Elephas maximus indicus: one gene and its partner. The protein of the gene in region 2 purifies or fractionates together with the protein of the main gene of each other region. This does not show direct contact. Links are inferred from orthologs where the notes say so. Each region holds a gene or a part of one and is shown on either strand. Other genes may lie near its edges.

The links.
Region 1: the proteins of SMC3 (region 2) and REC8 purify together in Homo sapiens (affinity purification with mass spectrometry; 3 studies listed by BioGRID and IntAct, with this or other methods). This does not show direct contact. The link is inferred for Elephas maximus indicus from reciprocal best matches to the Homo sapiens genes SMC3 and REC8.

What each region holds. Positions count from the first base shown.
Region 1 is NC_064828.1:35,520,580-35,528,729, reverse strand, and holds the start of REC8 (meiotic recombination protein REC8 homolog), read right to left. Parts: upstream 3,255-8,150; 5' UTR 2,858-3,254; intron 2,752-2,857; 5' UTR 2,590-2,751; coding exon 2,534-2,589; intron 2,450-2,533; coding exon 2,381-2,449; intron 2,242-2,380; coding exon 2,099-2,241; intron 2,015-2,098; coding exon 1,939-2,014; intron 1,830-1,938; coding exon 1,709-1,829; intron 520-1,708; coding exon 435-519; intron 78-434; coding exon 1-77. Other genes in the region: IRF9 (interferon regulatory factor 9), read right to left, coding at 7,083-7,271, 7,411-7,526. UniProt on the Homo sapiens protein: Required during meiosis for separation of sister chromatids and homologous chromosomes.
Region 2 is NC_064834.1:61,393,564-61,401,252, reverse strand, and holds the start of SMC3 (structural maintenance of chromosomes protein 3), read right to left. Parts: upstream 3,163-7,689; 5' UTR 3,017-3,162; coding exon 3,002-3,016; intron 1,752-3,001; coding exon 1,676-1,751; intron 1-1,675. UniProt on the Homo sapiens protein: Central component of cohesin, a complex required for chromosome cohesion during the cell cycle. The cohesin complex may form a large proteinaceous ring within which sister chromatids can be trapped.

The DNA.
Region 1 (8,150 bases), on a different chromosome or scaffold from region 2:
TATCTGCAAGATTTGTATGGGCTCTGCCTCCAGGAGGGTGATGACCTCGGGAGAGGGCACAATACCCAGCATCCTTTCTGGAGGGTCAGGGGAGTCACATTAACCCTTTTGCTCCTTTCCAGGACCCCACACCCATACAATGAGGCAAAAGCACCAACTCTGGCATGAAGTCAACCTGTGTTCTAGTCAGGCTCATGACAGTCACAAGCGATCTGACCTTGGGTAGAGTGCTTAGCCACTGTTGGCCTCACTTTCCTCATCTGTAAGATGGGGATAAAAATTCTGACCTCATAAGACTCTTCTAAGGCAGTGGTGAGTTTACACATATAAAGTGCCCCTCACAAGGCCTGACTTCAGGGACAGCTCAAAGATAGTCATTTCCTCAGCTCTTGGGCCTTCCTATGTCTCACAGAAAGAAGGTTCTCTGTGCTCACCTGGCTCCCTGAGCTCTGGAGGGACTTCAGGAGGGATCTCCTCAAGAACTCTCTCTGGGGTCACGGCCTCTAAGAGGCGTCGAATCTTTGGGAAGGGATTGGGGACAAAAGATAGGAATCAGCATCAGCCCCCTGCTTTTCTACTTCCACAACCTTAGATATTCAGATCAAACCAAAAAACCAAACTCACTGCCATCAAGTTGATTCCCACTTATAGCGACCCTATAGGGCAGGGTAGAACTGCCCCATAGGGTTCCCAAGGAGTGGCTGGTGGATTTGAACTGCCAACCTTTTGGTTAGCAGCCAAGTTCTTAACCACTGCACCACCAGGGCTCCATAGTTATTCAGACAGTGGACAGTGATACCCTTTTATGTCTAATTCTCATTGCATTAACATCAGCCTGCAGTGAGCCCACTCCCCATCTGGTTCCCTTTCCTCCCATCCACCACCCCCCCCATCATCTAGCTTTTGTCAGTCCATCTATGCAAGAAGCACTGCACCCTTATGTCAAGTGTCATGGGGGACAGAGGTGAACAGAAAGATTTTTGACCTAGCAGAGAGACAGGTTTGTATATGACCCCTACAAGAGTCAAGGCAAAAGGTAAAACGTGGCTCTAAAAATGCCTGGAGTTCTGAAACAGCATTTGGTTCTGGCTGAGGGTGGGATAAAGGCGTGAAAAAGGGCAGCGTGTGAGCCAGGTCTGTAAGGACACAGAGGATGTAACTAGTAGAACATGAGAGATGACCATTTGAGCTACGGGGAGAAAAAGAGAACGTGGGGCTGAGGGGCCAGACTGGTGTTTGGCAGCCAAGGACACCCAGAGGATTTGCCGAGGAGAGAGCTGTCTGGAGAGGGCTAGCTCTGGACCACGGCATGGAGAGCCCCAAATGCTATTATTGTTTACAGTGAGGAGCTATTGGAGGTGTGTTTGAAGGAAGCGGGTGACATCCAAGCTGTGGGGGTGTGGGGAATGGTTTGGAGGTGGATACGGGTAGAGAAGCCTCATGCAGAGAGATGATGAGGGCCTGGATTAGGGTCTCGGCAGCAGGAACAGTGTGGAGATGAGCAGGGACAGGAGCTCCCTCCTGGGGAGAGACCATCCTAGCAGGCTGGCCTGAATGGGTAAGTGCCTGAACCAGCCCACCATCTCCTGTGAGGGAGAGCTATGGCAGGCCCCCTCCCCTAACCCACTGCCAGACTGGCACAGGGACAGCCCTCCACTTCTGCATTGTCACTTCATGAGTTGAGGTGTTCCAGGGGACTGAGCCCTACCTGAGGGATCTCAAAGGGGCTGGGAAGTCTGGGTTCCACAGCCATCATCCCAAAAAAGGGGTCAGGAGCATCTTCCAGGGTCTCCATCATGGCCAGGCGGCTAGGCAGCAGCAGGCTGGGTCTGGCGGGAGGCAGTGGGCTGTGAAGGACTGAGGCTGAGAAGGGTGGAGGCCAATCGGGTGGGCATCCCACCAAAGGCTGGGTGGGCTCAGTCCCAGGGGGACACTCACAGTTCAGCCTCTGCCATATCAATGCGGATCTGCATCTGGGCACGATGCAGCCGCTCCAGGATGTGCTGGATGTCCTCTGGGGGCAGGAAGGGTCAGCGCCGGGAGCCAGGCAGCCCAGGGCCACTCCGCTCTGCCCCACCTCCCAGGCTTCCCGCCTTACCCACAAGGTACTGGCATTGTTGGCAGTAGACCCGGATCACGCCGATCTGAAGCTGGGCTGAGAGATAGAGGGAGAACCGGGGCCGCGGCAGGCCAGGCTGCGGGGGCTCCACTCGAACCAACACGTAATTGAGGATTTCCTCACTGGGGGAGGATTTCACGTAATGGAGGATTTCCTCGCTGCCCACCGCTGCGCCGAGGACCGGCCTCACAGTCTTGCCCACCCCAGCCATTCCCTGACCCACCCAGGCACCAGGCCTCTCCTCCCTTCTCTGGGCCTTACCAGGTCTTCACAACGTTCACCTTGAGGTATTCCCGCTTCACCAAGCGGCTGCCGCGCGTAGCTGCCAGCCTGGAGCCGAGTGGGGTGGAGGCAGCGTCAGGCTGAGATTCCCGGCGCCCCTCCTGGAGCGCCCCCAGCAGGCCCCGCGCTTACCAGATTGTGGCGAAGCAGCCTGTGTGGCGCTGAAGCACGTTGGGGTAGTAGAACATCTTCCCTCCGCGGCTTCACCCTTGTCTCCGCCCCTCCTCCGTTTGGATCTCAATCCGAATTCTTTAGCCCTCGGGCTTTCCCAACACCGTCAGAGAGATAGATTTGGACAAGTGGCGTGCGGGGTGGCCCCAGAAAGCCAAATAAATGAACTGATGAACAATCTACGGATAAACAATTGAGATAAACAGATTCAATACGCATGTGTGGGACGCCCCTCTTCGTGAGACCTGAGTGGGTTCGCGCGCCGTATGGGTACTTAGAACTTACTTATTGGACCCTTCCGGATTGGGTTCCAGGCTGGAGATGCTGAGCTCCCAAAGGTTCAGCCCCAGCCCAGGTCCCAAGGGAGACCAGGTGTCCTCCGCAGTAGACCTTCCCAGCCTCTGGCGAGGTGCCGATTTCCTCCGTCTTTACACGCAGCGTGAGCACCTGCAGTCCCCGTCCTGGGTCGCCCCCTGCAGGACTAGATCCCACGGCAGGGAGTAAGCGCTCGGGTGCTTTGCATCTCGCTCCTTATTTGAGGGCGGAGACCCTCAGAACAGCCAATGGGGAACAGGAGTCGGGTTGGGCACGAAGCAGTCTGTCGGGGTTCGAGGCCACAGGGGTCTCCTGAGACAGCAGCGAACCAATCGGAAGAACCTGCGTGCTGCTGGGCCATTGTGAGGTGTCCTGTCCAATGGGCTCTCCTTCTCGCCTCTAGTAACAAGCATTTCTCCGAGGTGCTACTCCACTGACCAATGGGCGGAGAGCAAATCCCAGCCTCTCCCCCTCAGGGGACCTGGTAACAACAGCGGTTCACCAGCGGAGGTCGGGGTCATGTAGGGGGCAACCGCCCTGACCCTGTTCAAGGTGCCAAGATGTAAGGCGCCTGACCTGCGGTTAAACCCTGCCCTTCCCGCCAAATTCCATCAGTCAGTAATTGATTGGTCTGACTTTGTGCCCAGCCTATTGCCTGTGATGCTGGGGAGGTAGAAACGGTGTGAGGTGGATTCAGCCCGGCACAGGTCAATGAGGAAGTCAGATCACTTGTGAAGCAGTCAGAGAAATTGCCGGGTTGTAGGCATGCCCCATCTGGTCGTTCCAGTTGTAAATGTTCTCCTGGCTGGAATAGACTGTCCTCTGTTGGATTCAGGGCATAGTCATCCGCCTACAAAAGCCATTTATTTGTCACAAACATTCTTTGTGTGAAATTATGTTGTACGGTTGTACTGTGGTTACAAACCCTCACCATCCCCGTGCCTGCTGCCTCTGCACAGCCACTGCCTTGGCCTAGAATGCCCTTCCCCACTTTGACTCCAGACCTTCTGCCACTTTATTGCAGCTGAGCTGACACAATCTTGTTACAGCCTCCTTCCATCTGAGAGCTCTTGTTAGGGGGTCCTGTTTTTTTCAACCAATACCTGGCATCTAAAAAAAAAAAAAAGTATTCATCAAGTGAGCTTGCAGTTGCCCTAAATTTACCGCCACAGAATGTTAAAGCTGAAAGGAATTTAGAAATCATCTAGTCCAAGCCCTGCCTTTTCAGAGGAAAAAACAGGCCCATACAGACCCTCCCAAACTACACAGCTCCTTAGTGAAAGCATGGTTGTGAACTTCACTCTCTGGACTCGTGTTCCCAGTCCCTCTTCCACTGTGCTTGGCTAGATTGGCTTCTATGTGATACTTGCAAATTGTTTTAATCACCATACATAAGTTGTCAATATTTTTAAGTGCTCAGTTTGAGGCAAAAAGATAAAAAAGTGGGGGCACCTGCCTTTAAGGTGCTTAGAAACTAGTTTAGGAGATAAGGGACACAGAGTAATTGATTCACTCATTTGTCCACTCATTCCATAAGTATGTGCCAGGCACTCCTCTAGGTACTTGGGATACAGCAATGAATAAAACAAGTTTCTGTCCTTATGCAGTAGGAATGGAGAGATGATAAGCAAGTAGAGAAATAGAAATACGTCAGGTGGTGATCAGTGCTGTGAAGAAAAATGAGGCAGCATACAAGAGGAATAGTAAGTATTCAGATAAGGTGTTCATGTAAACCTTTTCTGAATATGTAACATTTTAACAGAGACCCAACTTAAGTGGGGGGACAAGTCTTGTGCCTTCTTGGGGGAAGAGTGTTTTAGACAGAAGAACCAGCAAGTGCAAAGGACATGAGGTAGAAATGTGCTTGGTAGGTTCAAGGAACCTGGAGCAAAGTGACTAGGGGAAAAATGGCAAGGGATGAGGTTAGAGAGGAGGATGAGAACCACATGACAAGGACCTTGGAGGCCATTGTAAGGATGTGGGCTTTTACCCTGAATTGGGAACCAATGGAAAGTTTTGAGTAGAGGTATGACATGACCAGATTTTATAGGTTAAGAAGATCTCTGCTTTATTGAGAATAGGCTGAAGGTGAATAAGAGTGGAAGCAGGGAGTCTAATTAGGAAGTTAGATATAAGAGATGATGGTAGTGTCTTGGTCATCTAGTGCTGCTATAACAGAAGTACCACAAGTGGATTGCTTTAACAAAGAAATTTATTCTCTCACAGTCTAGTAGGCTACAAGCCCAAATTCAGGGAGTCAGCTCCAGGGGAAGGCTTTCTTCTCTCTGTCGGCTCTGGAGGAAGGTCCTTGTCATCAATCTTCCCTTGGTCTGGAAGCATCTCAGTGCAGGAGCCTCAGGTCCAAAGGATGAGATCCGCACCCGGTGCTCCTTTCTTGATGGTATAGGTTCCCACATCTCTCTGCTGGTTTCTCTTTTATATCTCAAAAGAGATTGACTTAAGACACTATCTAATCTTGTAGATCTCATCAATATAACTGCCTCTAATCCATCTCATTACAAAATAGTGATAGGATTTACAACACACAGGGAAATCACATCAGATGACAAAATGGTAGAAAATCATACAGTATTGGGAATCATGACCTAGCCAAGTTGACAGATATTTTTGGGGGACATTCAGTCCATGACAGGTGATTTGTTCCAAAGTGTTGGTGGTGGAAGCAGGGAGAAGTGGTCAGCTTCTGAATGTATTTTTAAAGAACAATGATAGATTTGCTGGTGGATTGGATGTAGGGTATGCGAGAAAATGGAAGTCAAGGAGATAGCTTAGGACCTGGTACAAAGAAGGTTCAGGAGCAATTTCCAAAAATTAAAGGCACAACAAGGCTTTGGCACGTGAGGCACTGGGTACCTAATTTCTTCACTGGTAGCATGGACGCCTGTTTAGGCTCTTGGCTTCTTAGGAGAATGATGGGCAAGACTGAATAGAAGTTCGCAGGAGACAGAGAGGCTCAAAAGCAGCACTTAGTTTGTCATATAAGAGAGCAAGAGGAAGATCCTCAGAGAACCTGAGGCACTTGGATTTGATCACGCGGTGAGCCTCTGAAGTGACAAGACAGGAAGGAGTCTGGAAATCCCAGCTGGTGTCATGAGCAGGAAGGGGTAAGCTGGAGGCTGTGACAGTCAAGTGATGACCTGGGTCTAAACTCGTCTGGTGGCAGTGAGTATACAGAAAAGTTGTGTGACAAGTGGTCATGTGAAGGAAGAATTCCCAGTTTGGTGACAAAACGAACACAGGAGTTAAAAGAAAAGAGTGTTAGCTGATTTGGACCCCTCATATTTCAGTGAATGGGTATTGGTGACATGGTTGCCTAGGCTGTCTTTTTTTTTTGCTAGGTTGTCTTTTGTGGGACTCAGGTAGGGTGAGGAATTTGGTTTTGGGCATAACCTTCAGTCAAGGTGACAATGCACTTGTGCTGGGAGGGCCCCATCTGTCCCCACCGAAGCAGCCAGACACAGGAGGTTCAATAACTCTTCCCTCTGATTTCCCCTCCCAGGCCTCAGGCCTCTAGCCCAATTTCAGGTCAATCTCAACTGTCTCCTCTTTTCATTTAGAACTCCAGTCCAACTGCAGGCCTGTCGTTGAGGCCCTAACCAAAGGCTTCTAGCAAAGAATGGTGGAGTGCAAATTTTCCTTTGTGAAATAGGTGGTTGTAGTGCCCAGCTGTCATTTCAGTGCCCCTCTTGGTGACTGGCCCTGCACCTTCTCCTGATTCTAGTTGTCTAGAGGGTCCGGAGCCCACAGAGCCTAGACGGTCTGCTAGCCAGAAGTTGGGGACAGAGGAGAGAAAATAGGCCCGGAGATGTCAGCAGCAAGAGAACCCAAGTGCCCAGCTCCCAAGTTTACATCTCTGTCATCTACTTTTGACCCTGTTACCTTCTTCTCTCAGCCAATCAGATACTGATGCTTCTTTCAAGAAAAGTTTATTTAAAATGCTTAATGAAGTTCTAGGATGCAAATATAAAGTGCTTGGCTTTAGAGTTGGGGTGTAGGGGAAGAGGGAAAGGTCTCCTGAGTTTCAGCCATTTGGATTTTCCCAGTTCTTTAGAGATGAAAGAAGGTATACCTCAAAATTAAAAAAAAAAAAAGGGTGGGGGGAGGGATAAGGGGTAAAAATCATCCTTGAGTCTCCTACCACCCAGGGTGCATGAAGAGTTCAAGGCTGTAACCATCACAGACAATCACCGAGAATTATCACAGAGGAGTTCAGGTCACCAGTGTGGAGAATGTTTCTGTTTAAAGGAGAGAGGAAGAAAAGAGATGGGAAGGCGGGGGGATCCTCCAGGCTCAGGGGCAGAGTGGCTGCCTGCTCCTCTGGCATTGTCCTCTCCAGCAAATGTCGGGCAAAGGCTTGCTCCATCTGTAGAGGAAGAGGTGGGAAGAAGCCATCAGTGAGTGCAGCACAGCAGGTACTACCTACAAGAGCTCCTTCCCCATGGAGGCCCTTTTCCTCCCTGGAGCCCGATCTGCATGCCCCGTCCACCCTGCCCTGAACTCACCTGCACTGTAATAAGACTCTGTGGGTTTTGGCTAGGGTCAGAACTTTCCTCCCAGAAATTCAGGGTCACCTGGAACTTGGGTGGGGGGCCCAGGCCCTGGTTGTACCTGGCCAAGTCTGAAAGAGAAAAGGTCGGGGTAGGAAAAAAGAAAAGAGACAAGAGAGAGGGCAGCAGGCAGGGAGGTGGTAGGAGAAATCCCTGATGGTCAAAGAGAGGTGGGAGTGGGGCCACTTGGAGACCAAGGTCAGAGCAGAGGCTGCGGGGTCATGAGGCTGTTGCCTTGGATCAGGAGAAACACTAGGCACTAAGCAGCTACTGACCCATGTGCAAACAGAAAAAGGTGCCCCTTGCTCAAAGTAAGACACGTTGACAGTGAGCAGATTATTACACAACCTGAAAAGGAATCCCTAGCACAGCTGAGTCCTCACAGATGACAGCCCTGGTTGCTAACCCTCATCTTTGCTGTTGCTAACTATCCCCCACCCCAAACACTAGGTTACACATGGCCCTGGGAGCATCTCCATTGTGTTCCCTATGCTCCTGACTCTACTTCCACAGTCAGGTTTAGTGGGGGCAGGAACTGGAATTCCAAGAGTGGGTGGGTAAGACAGCAACCTTAGGGGATTCCTAGAGGTGGGAATAGGGTGGTGCCAGGGCCAGTGTGTGGTGTGCACCAGCTCTCCCAAGTGTGTGGATGGCGTGTGTGTCAGAGCGCGTGCAAGAGAGGGCCAGGGGGCCCC
Region 2 (7,689 bases):
GACTACCAACAATGCTAGTGTTGCAACCAAAGTAGCAAAACACAGCTCTCTGACAACAGCTAAGACAATAATAATAAACTGTTGTTCTTAAGTGCCGTTGAGTCGATTCCAACTCATAGCAACCCTATATACAACAGAACAAAACACTGCCTGGTCCTGTGCCATCCTCACAATCATTGCTGTTTGAGTCCATTGTTCCAGCCACTATGCCAATACAGCTCGTTGAGGGTCGTCTTCTTTTTCACTGACCCTCTACGGAAGATTCTACAGACTTCTGAGTAGAGTCTACAGAAGTAATTTAATCAATCTAGATAAATAATGGTCATTTTACAGGTCATTTATAAAACTATACAAATGAAATACTAAGGTATTTATTTCTACCGTGTAACATATCTGGAGCCCTGGTGGCAGTCGTTAAGGGCTTGGTGGCTAACCAAAAGGTCTGCAGTTCCAATCCACCAGCCGCTCCTTGGAAACCCTATGGGGCAGTTCTACTCTGCCCCAAAGGGTCACTATGAGTTGGAATTGACTTGATGGCAAGTGGTTTTATAACATGTAGAAATAATATAAATCTAGTAATTGTTCATTTTTCTCCATTTCTAGAGATTTTCTGATTGATGAAAATCAGAAAGCATCTATAATCAAAATGTAAGCAAAATTCCAGTAAAACCAAGCTATCTTTATGGCACATCAATTCAATTAACTAAATTTTCAAAATAGCTGGAGCAGGAAGAAAAGCATGTTTTCTTTATTTCCAACTACAAGGTTGCAACCAATGTATGGAGCACAGATAAAACCATTACATTAGAATAAAGGAAGTATGATTCTCCCAGGGTCTTCTGGGAACATTACCATCCACTGATTTTCTACATAAATCGTACCTAGTAATGAGGACACTGTATGACAAAACTCTGTCAACAGCATGTGTGTTTAGAAGCACTCATTTCATCTATCCTTTAAGAGTTGAGCAGACAGAAAACTTTCATTGGCTGTATCAGCAAAATGGACATTATATAATCTGAAGACTAAATATAGTATAATGGCAATCACTATTTAGTCCTTTTTCCTTACATTTATATATGCTTTCTCATTTAATCTTCCCAACAGCCCTATGAAAGAGATATCATTGTCCCACTTTGACAAAACAGAAGCTTCTCAGAGAGTAAAGTTTCAAACAGAACTGGGATTTCTGAACCCCATTCCATTATACTCCAAAATTTACACTCTTCCCACCAAGCTCTTAGACATTATGACAGGAAAAGAAAAACTGACAATCTAATTTATGACTAAAGAATGATCACCTGTGAAATAAACAGTGAGCATTTTAACAAGCATATGACATATATCAAGAACAGAATGGCTCAAACACTGAATTTAGTTCCATTCAGTCTAAATTTAAAAAATAGTTATCTAAGCTACTAAAACACACTTTCACACAAATAAGGTCACTCAAATAAAAATGAGTAACTTACAACTGTTTTACCCAAGAATTTTAAATTTACAAAATAAGCAATTCATCAGTGCAGATAAAGGACAAAGAGATTACTTCAAACAGATAAATGCATGCAATACTGAAAGACAATTCCTGTCTCCTCAAGCCAATAACATGGTTTGAATGGACAGAATTTATATGGCTGTATACATAAATCTGATCTAGTAAACCAGGAACACTTACCAATAACATTATGCTTTGAACTGAAGGGATCTACAATTGTTTGATCTCTATAACTTCGAAAACCCTGGATAATAACCTAATAAGTAAAAGAGATATTTTTGAGAACGCACACAAAAAGAAATAATTTCTAAAGTAACTGTTTTTCTTTTTAATTTTATTGTGCCTTAGGGGAAAGTTTACAGCGCAAATTAGCTTCTCATTCAAAAATTTATACACAAATTGTTTTGTGACATTGGTTGCAATCCCTGTCCATGTGACTGCACCCTCCCCTTTCCACCCGGGGTTCCCCGTAATTTTTTTTTTAAAGTAACATTTCTTTCCATTTTACTTTCTCATTTAACGCAAGTTAGAAAACTTTCCATTTTTTTCTATAAGAAAAAAACTCATTTTGGAAAGTGAAGATTAAAAATCTTTTTAAAACACTCCTTTTGTCAGTAAGCATTGCCAATTTTTTGTTTTTAAGAATCATAATTAGTGACCTATTAAGGAACTCTCAAACTCAAGTACCCTGCGTAAGCGTGACTGGAACACGCAACATTACATCCTATTGTAAAAGTGTATCATGGAGGCAGACCGGTCCCAGCTTTCCTGACTCCAAGCCCAGTGAGCGCTCCCTTCAGTCAAACATACCACCAGCCAAAACCAGTAAACATTCCAAAAGAGTCCTTGGAGTCCAACAATCCAATAGAAAACCTTTTCCCAAATAGCGTGAATTGGCTCATCTTTGTGGTGGACTCCTGCGCGGGAAGACCATTTTGACAGAAGTGAACAACTGAGTGAGGCGCTCCACCTTCTGCAGGAATGAGGATCCCCTTTTACTTCTCCGGTAAATCCGGGAGCCGAAAGGTCCCCGGTTGCAGCCGACACCCCAAGGGGCGCCCCCGACAGGGGAGACCGACTCTCCTCACATCCCCCCCCCACCACAGGGTTCCTTCGGGGCCATCTCTGCAGGATAGCACTGCCCTTCCCGCCCCCGGGCCGGCCGCCAGCCAGCTCTGAGCCCTCTCTGCCAGCGCTCCCGGCTCGGCCCCTGCCCCCGCCGCCGGCCCCTCCACACCTCCCCGAGATCCCGCTTCCCTCAGAAGAGACCCTGCGGGGGGGTGGGGCGGGCCGGGCTGCAGAGGAGCGCGCCCCAGTTCTCCGAGCCCCGCGACCCGGACGCTCGCAGGCCGGGACCTCGCTCCCTTCCCCCACAGGCCCCTGTCCAGCCTTGGGTCCACCGTTCGCGCGGAGAAGAGCGAGGCCGCGGGTCGCACTGCAACACCCCCGCCTCAAGGAGCGTTCCTCACGGACCAGCGACGGGCCAGGCGAGTGCGCAGGCCTTACCTGCTTTATGTACATTGTTCCGCGCCCGTAGCCAGGGAGAAGGCCTCCCTGCGGAGCAGTACCAGCACGGTGGCCGTAGGGTCAGGTAAGGCGCCTACGAGACCCCTCCCCCAAGGCGCCGCTCACTCCCCTCCAGCCAAACAAAATGGCGGCGCCCGTGGAGGCGGAGCCCGCGCCTCGGGCAAAACCACCCTTGCGGCCACCACAGAGTGTAGGAGGAGCTCGGGTCAGGTCGCTTTTTCTTTTTAGCAAAACGAGTCTTCTACAGCGTTGCTCGGTGTATTTCATTTGATTATTTAAGTTCGTGGCTGAGCCTTTCCTGTGACCTAATCAAATTTCATTCGGGGAAGCTTTGGCCGTGAAGTTGGGCCGTACCCCCTCCGAGCATGGAGTCAATGGTCTCATCCACATGGGGGGAAAGCTTCGGCGCCAAAGCCAAGTGTGAGACTCTGAGGGCCAGTTGCAGAGCGGGCTGGCAGCCACGTGATCCCGGGTTGTTTAAAAATGCGGACTCCCGAGCGGACGCCGCCAGTCATTGAACTCGGGAACGCTGGCGACAGCTGGAATGCTGCTGTGCAGAATCTCTGCTGCTCCATTATTGTCCCTCGCGCTAGAAGCTTAACAAACTTAGAACTCCCGCCCCGCCCACCCCCCCGCCCCAAACTGGCTCTGAACCACCTGCTCGCAGGACAGCCGGAAAGGGACTTGTCGAAGGCTGGAAAATTTCTTTTAATGATGTGATAATTAATACCCTGGGAGCTGTTACGGCTCTGCCATTTGCTATAAATCTAGGCGGTCCTGTACAACTGCAGCAAAAAGAGATTTACTGCGTGGGATTAAAAATGACTTTTTTTTTTTAAATATTGCCTCAAAGATACCAGGTACATGGGGCAGCCCTGTGTATATCTGATCCATATCAGTCCTAGAGGAAAAATTATTTGGTGAGAAATTGGATGTCTGGGCCGCTCTGAAATTACCTACTAGGAAGGGAACAAAATAGCCGCCTAAGTGGGTCCTCATAACCAGTGGAGTCACTAGACGGATGGGGGTGGTGAGAAGTGGCCACTGTACTGAGTGATACTGTCAGAGGAGATGGCACCAAAATGACTGTCTAAAAAGATTTTGTGCAGTGTTTCAGCAGAAATTTTTTATTTTTTAATAAAATACCCATGTAGTTAGTTATAACAAACACATTTTTCGTGAGGCCAGCTTACATGTGTTAATATACCTATAAGATAAACGCTATGCTAATTTACTTTTTGAACCTTCTAGAACGCTCTGGTTAGAGCTGTCATTATTACCCAATTTACAATGGTGCTTCAAGTCCTGTGGTTTTTTCTGCATGCTCTACAAGCACTCCTTATTTTCATTACTGCTGGTGTTTTTATAGTTACTGATTTAGTCAAATTATTTGGTGCTTTAGCTATAATATTGTGGTAATTCAGTATTTGTGAACCTGTATCAGTAACTTTTTTGAGAATGAAGTAGTGATAAAAAATTGATATACGGGAATTACGATTTACCAGTAACATAAATACAAAAAACATTACTGAGGACTTAGTATGGTCTGGTATATAGGTGAGGGGGGAGGGGGGTTTTGACACCAACCCTAGTGACCCAATGCCTGAAGCCCCATACCGAATCCCGCTAAGGGAGGGGCATTTCTGGCCCTAATTATCACAGATTTGAACAATTTAATAGTCTTCTAATTTCGTTGCCTCATAACATAATCCCTTTGGTGGTGGCAGAATCCTTTATCTGAAGCTCAGATCAAATCCTATCCAATCCTTGGCTTAAAAAACTTAATCTCTTTAAATATTTGGATTCCGGGTTAGCATCTCTACCCTGTGAATTTTTAATTGTGGGATTTTAGACATAATCTTATTTAGCTAAAATTATGTACCTATGAAATGATGGGAACCAAAACATTTGTCATGATTTTCACAGTCATAGAATTTTTACTTTCTTCCTTAACTTTTCCATATTAAATGAATCTTACACAATTAGTTATATAATTTATATAGTCAAAAAATAAAGATCAGTGAAAACCTAAAATGTCTAAAGGTGATTTAGAGAATTTAATGAGATTGTCTTCTTTATTTATATTTACAAGGAGCCCTGGTGGCCCAATGGTTAAACGCACCACTGGTAATCAAAAGGTTGGCGGTTTGAGCCCTGGTGGTTTGCTCCTGTAAAGATTACAGGCAAGAAAGCCCTATGGGCAGTTCCACTCTGTCACATGGGGTCACTATGAGTAGAAAGTAGACTTGAGAGCACCTAACAACAACATTTATATTTACATATTTATTGACTCTTTCCGCTATAATATACCTGCTATATTTATATTATATAAATATATTTCCGCTATAAAATTATATGTGTGTATATATATATATATATATATATGTATATGTATAACATCAAGACAGAAGGGACTTTGTTTTGCTACTGCTGTTTCCTAAGTAACTTATTCACAGAAAATACTCAACAAATATTTGTGAGGGAAAATGCATGAAAGCAAGGTACTTACCACAAAGCCTGACTTGTATATACTATTGCTATTGGTTTTTTTATTGGTATAAAAGGAGCCCTTGATGGCACAGTGGTTAAGGCACTCAGCTGCTAACCAACAGGTTGGTGGTTTGAACCCACCAGCTTCTCCACAGGAGAAAGACATGATGGTCTGCTTGTGTAAAAATTACAGCCTTGGAAACCCTATGGGGCAGTTCTACTCTGTCCTGTAGGGTTGCTATGAGTTGGAGTCAACTTGGCAGCAGTAGGTTTGGGTTTATTGGTATGAAAAGGTTACCCACCATTTTCTTCCAGAAAACATGTAACCAAACAACACATCGATCTCCTTTAGCCAGTATCATAAAAGCCATGTGCTATTGGGTGGGTTATCTGTGGGCAAAGTCACATTCTCAAACGAAATTCCCACCATAAAGCAGGAGACCAACCACACAATACCTACTTGCTCATGGTCAAGTAATGACAGCAATGAGTTTGGTTTTTTGTTTTGGCTGGCTTTTATCATCAAAATATCCCATTAACAACACATAGCATCATCTTCTTCCCTATTTTTACTTCTTTTCCCCTGGCCCCACCTCAGATTGATTCAACATCTCAGACACAGGTTCAAGATCCTTAGGCACACTGAAGGGGGTGGGGAGGGGCAGGAAGAAGCACTAAATCATAAAGTCTCCAAGAACAGGGTTTCTGTAATACCCAAAACATCAGTTTTACCAGTTGCTGTTGAGCCAGTTCCAACTCATGGCAACCCCATTGTTGCAAAGTGAAAGTGCACTCCATAGGGTTTTCAAGGCTGTGACCTCTCAGAAGCGTATTGCCAGGCCTTTCTTTTGAGGTGCCTCTGGATGGGTTCGAACCACCAACCCCTTCAGTTACTAGTCCAACCCTTAATTGTTTGTGCCACCCAGGGACTCCTGAGCCACACTTGTTAGTTGTTGTTAGGTGCTATCAAGTGGGCTCCGACTCATAGTGACCCATGTATAAAAACTAAAACGTTCCCTGGTCCTGCACCATCCTCACAATAGTAGGTACGTTTGAGCCCGTTGTTATAGCTACTGTGTCAGTCCATCTCCTTGAGTCTTCCTCTTTTTCACTGATCCTCTACTATAACAAGCATGATGCCCTTCTCCAGGGATTGGTCCTTTCTGATAACGTGTTCAAGGTAAGCAGAACAAAGTCTCACCATCCTCACTTTTAAGGACCATCCTGGCTGTACTACTTCCAAGACAGATTTGTTTGTCCTTCTGGCCAAAAAGAAAAAAAAAAAAAAGCCAAAACAAACCCGTTGCCATTGAGTCAATTCCAACTCATAGCGACCCTATAGGACAGAGCAGAACTGCCCCATAGTGTCTCCAAGAAGTGGCTGGTAGATTCGAATTGCTGGCCTTTTGGTTAGCAGCTCTAGCCAGCTGTAGCTCTTAACCACTGCCACCAGGGCACTGTTCTTCTGGCAGTCCATGGTATATTCAATATTCTTCACCAACACCATAATTCAAATGCATCAATTCTTCGGTTCTTCCTTTCTCATTGTCCAGGTTTCGCCTGCATGTGAGGTGATTGAAAATACCGTGGCTTGTGTCTGGCCACCTTAGTCATTGTTATGGATTGAATTATTTCCCCTTAAAATGTGTGTCAAGGATAGGCTGTGATTCCCAGTATTGTGTGGCTGTCCACCATTTTGTGATCTGATGTGATTATGCTCTGTGTTGTAAATTCTAACCTCTGTGATGTTAATGAGGTAGAATTAGAGGCAGTTACGTTAATGAGGCAGGACTCAATCAACAGGATTAAGTTGTACCTTGAGTCAATCTCTTTTAAGATATAAAAGAGAGAATTGAGCAGAGAGGAGAGGGACCTCATACCACCAAGAAAGAAGTACCGGGAGTGGAGCTTGTCCTTTGGACCTGGGTTCTCTGTGCTGAGAAGCTCCTAGACCAGAGGAATTTTGATGACAAGGACCTTCCCCCACAGCTGACAGAGAGAAAGCCTTCCCCTAGAGGTGGCATTCTGAATTCAGACTTCTAGCCTCCTAAACTGTGAGAGAATAAATTTGTTTGTTAAAGCTGTCCACTTGTATTTCTGTTATAGCAGCACTAGATAACTAAGACCATCATCAAAGTGACATCTTTACTTTTCAACACTTTGAAGAGATCATTTAC